2 linked regions of the Ovis aries genome follow. The protein of the gene in region 2 purifies or fractionates together with the protein of the main gene of each other region. This does not show direct contact. Links are inferred from orthologs where the notes say so. Each region holds a gene or a part of one and is shown on either strand. Other genes may lie near its edges. The genes, in order: LSM8 and SART3.

What was found.
Region 1: the proteins of SART3 (region 2) and LSM8 purify together in Homo sapiens (affinity purification with mass spectrometry; 4 studies listed by BioGRID and IntAct, counting the BioPlex papers as one, with this or other methods). This does not show direct contact. The link is inferred for Ovis aries from reciprocal best matches to the Homo sapiens genes SART3 and LSM8.

What each region holds. Positions count from the first base shown.
Region 1 is NC_056057.1:84,400,702-84,403,722, reverse strand, and holds part of LSM8 (LSM8 homolog, U6 small nuclear RNA associated), read right to left. Parts: intron 908-3,021; coding exon 780-907; intron 1-779. UniProt on the Homo sapiens protein: Plays a role in pre-mRNA splicing as component of the U4/U6-U5 tri-snRNP complex that is involved in spliceosome assembly, and as component of the precatalytic spliceosome (spliceosome B complex).
Region 2 is NC_056070.1:64,530,919-64,535,498, reverse strand, and holds the start of SART3 (squamous cell carcinoma antigen recognized by T-cells 3), read right to left. Parts: upstream 2,838-4,580; 5' UTR 2,817-2,837; coding exon 2,505-2,816; intron 1-2,504. Other genes in the region: iron-sulfur cluster assembly enzyme ISCU, read left to right, coding at 4,216-4,329. UniProt on the Homo sapiens protein: U6 snRNP-binding protein that functions as a recycling factor of the splicing machinery. Promotes the initial reassembly of U4 and U6 snRNPs following their ejection from the spliceosome during its maturation.

The sequences.
Region 1 (3,021 bases), on a different chromosome or scaffold from region 2:
ACCAGCTACTTTTCAAGTACCCAGTGGCCACTCACTTGGTTAGTACCTACTACAGTGGACAATGCAGATATACAACAGATATGTAACATTCCATCATCCCCTAAAACTGTACTGGACAGTACTGCTCTACAATGTTGCACTTTTCTTATACTGTTACCACTAAAATGTATCTTCTCAAATTGTCATATCAGTGTCACAAGTTAACTGAGGCCAGGACATAAACATGGGACAGCTTAAGTGTGCCAATTATACTAAAAATTAAAAGAAAAAATGGATAAATTCAGCTATATTATAAAGCATTATTTTAAACTGTTCACACAAGAGATTTCAAAGACATTTTCAAACTCTAGCCCAGAGGTGTATTTATGTTCCTCTGAAATTAGGGATATTTTGGAAGAACATTTTAAGAACCTCCTCCAGTGAAGTATCCAATGTTAAGGCAGGGTTCTTTCTGGACCCTATTCAGGCTATTTAACTATTAGAAATATGGACAAATCTCAGTAGATAGAAACCTCTTCTCCACACAGCAAAGCAGTACACCTATTGTATACTGCTGTGTGTCAGTCACTCAGCCGTGTCCAGTTCTTTGTGACCCTATAGGCTATAGCCCACCAGGTTCCTCTATCCTTGGAATTCTCCAGGCAAGAATACTGGAGTGGGTTCCCATTTCCTTCTCCAGCGGATCTTGCTGACCCAGGGATTGAACCCAGGTCTCCTGCATTGCAGGCGAATGCCTTTACAGTCTGAGCTACTTGCCTAAAAACAGACATTTTACTTACACATTGTCACCTCTTACGATGTATAACCCTAGTACCACTTGTTCTACTCCCTGTGAAGAGCTGAACACTCGTTCATGGCTTTCATCCAGTATCAAATTAATGGTCTGGTCAAAACCTTTCAGTGTTCCCTGTAAAGAAAATATTCAAGAGAAAAAAGACAAAGTATCTGAATATGTAAATTCAACCACACCATTTTAGCTGCCAGGTATTCCAATAAGAGGACCTATTTTAAATATACATACAAGTTTACTATAAAATATCTCTTCATGACCAAGAGTACTCTTGGCACAAAACTTACCTCTTGGTTTTTTAAGGGGGAGGGGGGCACCAAGCCTCTGCTAGTGTGCAGAGCTATTGAGAATTACAAAGGACCCCATGTATTAGTTACTTCCAAGGAAGTAGCATAAAACTTCAGGCTATCCAGAAGTGAATATTCTAAAGATACAAACTTAAAAAAGGAAAACTTAAGGGAAATACTCCCATACACAGCAGCTATAGTAATATAACAGTATCATACATGTTTAGTTCAGTTGCTCAGTCGTGTCCGACTCTTTGTGACCCCATGAATCGCAGCACACCAGGCCTCCCTGTCCATCACTAACTCCCAGAGTTCACTCAGACTCACGTCCATCGAGTCAGTGATGCCATCCAGCCATCTTATCCTCTGTCGCCCCCTTCTCCTGCCCCCAATCCCTCCCAGCATCAGTCTTTTCCAATGAGTCAACTCTTCGCATGAGGTGACCAGAGTAGTGGAGTTTCAGCTTCAGCATCATTCCTTCCAAAGAAATCCCAGGGCTGATCTCCTTCAGAATCTTACATGCCAGTAAACATGCTACACATTATCTCAACCAATCTCTACCCTTTGTAGTAGATATTATATGTATTCCCACTTCAGAGAAGAAAAATTGAGGCACAGAGAAATAATCTCGCATGGTTTCATGGCTGGAAATTAGCAGAGCTAGAATCCAAACCATGAAAGGCTAGCTTCAAAGCCAGACCACTGAACTTCTATGTTACACTACTATGAACAAACAAATATAATTTACCACTTTTTAGAGATTCAAATCAATCCCATAAATATACACAAACTTCAAGTGGTAGTAGTAATAGCTAAGGCTAGATGAGTACTTAGTATTTGCCAAAGTGTTCTATGGGCTGCATATGGATTTACATATTTAATCCTCCTAATAACTCAGTAACAGTAGACACAAATATGATCACAACAACTGGAAAGTTCTAGAACTTGAAGGAAATATTCAGAGTTTTACAGAAGAATCATGGCTTCTAATAAAGGAAGACATGGGCATATTTCAACACAGTATCTCAGATGCTATTTCAGTTTCTGAAGAACATCAACTTATACTGATGGCTTTGGTTGGTTAAATCTCTTATTAAAGTTTCATGTTTTAAAACTCAAAATATGTAAAATTAGACCAAGATAAAGAGAAAATGTTAACTTAAAATTTGGAAAAGAAGCAAAATGTGGAGTACTTACTATACTAAATTAGTTAGCAAATAGTTGTTACCACACTCATACACAGCTTCTTGGCTTCATCTTACAAGTAACTATTTTATCAAGTTTCAGTGGACAGAGGAGTGAGGTAGACTACAATCCATGGGGTTGCAAAGAATTGGACACAACTGAGTAGACACACACATTCTATCAAGTGGGCTCTCCTGGTGGCTCAGCATCGAAGAATCTGCCTGCCAATGCAGTATGCTGCTGCTGCTGCTGCTGCTGCTGCTTAGTCGCTTCAGTCGTGTCCGACTCTGTGCAACCCCAGAGATGGCGCCCACCAGGCTCCCCCGTCCCTGGGATTCTCCAGGCAAGAACACTGGAGTGGGTTGCCATTTCCTTCTCTAATGCATGAAAGTGAAAAGTGAAAGTGAAGTCGCTCAGTCGTGTACGACTCTTCGAAACCCCATGGACTACAGCCTACCAGGCTCCTCCGCCCATGGGATTTTCCAGGCAAGAGGACTGGAGTGGGGTGCCATTGCCTTCTCCCTCCAATGCAGTATATGTGGGTTCAATTCCTGGGTTGGGAAAATCCCCTGGAGAAGGAAATGGCAACCCACTCCAGTATTCTTGCCTGGGAAATCCCATGGACAGAGGAGCCTGGTGGGCTACCGTCCATGGGGTCATAAAGAGTAGGACATAACTTAGCGACTCAACAAATTCTATCAAGTGAAATATGTGTCAAAGGAATACAGAACTGCTGAACTTTAGTTCTCGAAATGTTCT
Region 2 (4,580 bases):
ACGGACAAAGGACGCTTCAGGGAAAGAGGCGGCCTAGCCATCGTGCAAGTGCTCTGCAACAGGTTTCCTCTCGCCCTGACAGCACGACCTGCACGGAGAGGTGACAGAGGCGCCTGGTGGGACCACACTCGGCCCAATCACGGGAAGGGACCACGAGGTGCCGCTCCTAGTTTCAGCCACGACCACACACACAGCGGGACATCTCCGCTTCTGTTATCTGGACAGATTTCACAGCTGACTGTGAGCTTTCATAAAAACACTTGGGGTCAGAAGTGGAATTCAAACACGACAAGGCCGAGCACTTCGCGGGCCTCTCTGGAAGTTACTGACCATCACACTCCACCAGGAGAGTCGTTACAGCAAGAACTAGAGGCCGGGATTAAGAGGACATGGGAGGGAGTTTTGGGAAAACTGGAAAAGTCCATTTCTGGACCCCAGGAAGAAGATAAAGCCAAAGGCTCTTCAGTTCACCATCACCTGCCGGATCCCATCCTGTGCGGTGGCCTGAGGTAGGGTTGGCAAGTACACACCACCAGTGGCCAGGACACCTCTGCCCAGACCCGTCCTCCACTTTAGTAAGCAAAATACCCTCACTGAGGGTTTAATCGCTCTGCTTCCGAGCCTCCCCTTCCCCTCAACAGGTAATTCTATTTCCCCAACTAAGCAAGATAAGGGCTCACTGAAAGGCCAAAGGCCAGAGAGACAGACTGCCACCAGGACAGGGTCACAGGCGGCCTGCCACCTGACATTACACTGCAACTGCCAAATGAGTAAGAGAATGAATGGACTGCGGCAGGCTTGTTTATAGAAGGCAGGAAGGGTAACCACCGGCCTACCCCTGGCTGGTTCAGACGGGATGACAAATGAGACAGATATACCGAAAGAAGATACAACTATTTCACAACTTAGCAGGAACGTCACCACCAGAGAGGACATTATAAGGAATCTCACACCCAGCCAAGTTAACTGAGAAACCCAGGCTACCAACCCCACATCACTAACTGATTTCACACCCACTGTGGCATTCGGTCTACAGACAACCTGGAAAAGTTCAAATGCCCTTAGGCCTGACTCTGACCAAAACACTTCATCAGTCCTTTTGAGACTCTGTGTCCTCGTCCGTAAAATGAGATGGGAGCTCCATCTCTTCCCCTCCAAGACTACTCCACTCTCTCCCCTCCCTGTCCTGAGACCCACCATGTGGACCACATCCATGGGGTCTCTGGGTCTCGGGGTTCCAGCAGGATTTGCCCAACAGGCCATGTGGAAGCGAGGCACTGAAGTAGGTCAGGGTACTTCTTGCCCACCCTCCTTCCTGATGGGAAACGGGGGCTACCTCCCTGGAACAAACATCTCAACTCCTCTCAGGGATCCTCTCCACAAACTATCTAGAAAACCAGTCACTCCATCACCTCTACAGGACTAAAGTGGACACCTAAAGGTCCTGCTACTACTAGCCCTGGGAAACCAAACCTTTGCTCCTGACTTCCCTGCCCCAGACTCAACAGTCTCTCCATTGCTGTGCTGTGCCCAGTCTTGTCCGACTCTTTGTGACCCCACGGACAGTAGTCTGGCGGGCTCCTCTGTCCATGGGATTGCTCAGCCAAGAATCCTGGAGTGGGTTGCCATTTCCTTCTCCAGAGGATCCTCCTGACCCAAGGATTGGATCCATCTCTCCTGCACTGTCAGGCGGATTCTTCACCACTGAGCCACCTGGGAGGCCCAGTCTCTTTATGGACCTTTATTCCAAACTCTCCTAACTTGAATGTGCCACCTACTTCCTGCTGGGATCCTAGATTACATAGGAGACACCAACACCTGTACCTTCTAAAGTTACAGATTAGAAATCACATAGCTACTATTGCCAGGCCCCGAGCCCTGATTACCGTTAGGACAATTCTCTGGGCGGGAACCGTTTGTCCCAGTTTACAGAGTGGAGGATGAGAGACGTTATAATATTGGCCCCAGCACACACGGGTGTGGAAGAGCTAGAACTGGGGCCTTAGCCTCCAGACGCTATTCCGTTTCTATTATCACCGTCACGGTCACTATTTTCCCTACCACGCCAGAGCTCCTTATCTTCGTCATTCCTACAAGCAAACTACTCTTCTTGGAGGAAAATAATCTTATTTCTAGGCCTGGACACAGTTGACCCGTATGGCTAAGAGCGGGAGTTGCGGAGTCGATTCAAAGTTCAAAGCCTGACTCGCCACTTGCACTAAGTGTAATGGTGACAAGAGAATTCCCTCCACCGGGAGCCTCAGGGTCCTCCCACAAAACGGGAAATACAGCAATTCCCTCGCCGGGTTCTGGCGAGGGTTCAATAGGATAACACTTGCGAAGCACCTGGCGAGCAGTAAGCGCTCCGAGGACCGGAGACGCGCTGGGACACTGCGATTTGGAGGCTTTGGCGCTTTATATTACTTCCGAGGACCACGGAGGTGGGCCGGGGCCTGGGAACCCGAGGGAGAGAGCCCGCCGCCGCCGCCCACGCCCGCGCCCACCTGCTCCTCCAGCCGCTCTATCTCCAGCTGATTCTTCTCCTCTTCGTCGTACCCCCACTCGTACTCCCCAGGGGAGCTCTCGGCTGAGGAAGCCATGGCGTACTCCTCATCTCCATCGCTCTCACTCACGCCTTCCTCCTGCTGGTCCCACTCTGGCCCCATGGTCTTGTACGTCGCGGCGGCCACGGCCCGCGATAACACCTTCCTCCTCGCCCGAGCCGCCTTAGCCTCATCCTCCTCTCCTTCGGCCTCGGGCCCGGCCTTGGGCTCAGCCTCCGCTTCAGAAGCCGATGCTGCGGCCGCCGTCGCCATCTTGGACTTCCAGAGACTCCCGGGTCCTCACTTGGCCGCCAAAGACCCGCAGTAGTTGGAGCTGCCCGCGGCGCGCGCCTGGTCAAAATCCCGCCCGTCTGCCACCTGAAGAGAAACTATGCGCCTCGGATGACATGGAAATCTCGAAATACACGAGATTCATGTTATTTTATATACTTTCAGTAGCTCTTGTTCGAATAAAAAAGCTCACCAACAGGGCATGCGTTTCGGCACAACGTCGGACAGCAGTTGGGTCCTTAGGCAGGAAGTGGAAGCCATAGAGGCAGCCACTGAGTGAGCGTGATGGTTGTAGTTAAGGGTTTGGCGCCATCTTGAGAAGGTCAAAAATGATTCTTGGAATAAATATCTTACCACCTAGTCTGACCTGGCGCGTGAGTCAGTCTCCCCAGCAACTGAGCCTCAAACGCGCAAAAAAGTCTTAAGTCCTCAGGGAAGGATCGATTGCACCATTCATGAGAATAACTCATTTCCCAGAGATTCCTTCTCTTTATCTAATGCCTGGCGCCTAGCACTTAAATACACGTGAGTTTTGATTTTATAGGATCATATTCTGCAAACCAGTATCAATAAATTACATTAATAAATATTTACTTAGAATCTCTTCATTGCTATATCTTGTGATTTAATCTGTGCCAGTTTGCTTTTTAATAGAGACATAAACATATACAATTTTTAAAATCAGAGCAAAGTATTCTTTCCTTTAGTTAAGCTTCTCACTTTAGTGGTAGAAAAGCCTTGGTGGGTCTATTTATTGCCTTGCTCCCTCAGTAGCAAGCTTAATTGTGTCGTCTTGGGTTGTTTTCCCAAAGCACCCTGACAAAAAGTAGATACTCAACACAAGATTTGCTCAATGGATGAAGAACTGTCCTTGAATTAGTACAAAAAAGATCGAGGTTTACAATGACACTATGTTTCACTTAGCAGCACACAGCCAGTTAGGAGCAGAAATGGGATTCTAACTCAGGACTGTTCAAGTCAGAATCCCAACTGGGCCCCTCTGGGCAACCTAGGGCAAGTTACTAAACCGTTCTGATCCTCAAATTCCTAAGCTGCAAAATAGAGCCAAGAAGGGTGGACTGGTTGAGCCTCTGCGCCGAAATAGGCGGTGGGGCTTTGTCAACGCAAAGCTGGGTCCTGATTTCCTGCTCAAGGATCCTCAAGATTCAGAACCCAGCTCGGTGGACCAGCCCTCGAACGATTTCAAACCTTTAGGCTCCGCGCCGCGGGAACAAAACGGGGACACGTGAACGCAGCGGGAGGGCGCAGGCGCAAGGTCGCCGGTACTTTAGAGGGTGCGCGCTCCCAGCAGGGAGCCGACTCGCGCACGCGCCCCTCCCCTCGGCCGCGCGCTCCACCTGCGCAGGCGCAAGCCCTCAAGATGGCGGCGGCTGGAGCGGGCCGTCTGAGGCGGGCGGCGTCGGCCCTGTTGCTCCGGCCCCCGCGCCTGCCCGCCCGGGAGCTCTCAGCTCCCGCTCGGCTCTATCACAAGAAGGTAAGAGCGGCCCGGGGGTCCGCACCGGGCGGGGGGGCGGGCGGGAGTGCGAGGACCCCCCAGAGGACTTAGGGGTCCTAGCGGAAGCCCAGCCTAGTGGCCCTCCCCGCTCTGCGCGGCCCTGGAACCCCGACTGCAGCCCAGGGCCCTGGCCGCCCCCAGCCCTGGATGGAGGGGCCTTCCTCTCAAGAGGCCGCCTCGAATGGCTTTCCCTCGCTGCGCTGGGGCGACTAACCGCGCCTGAAACAGGA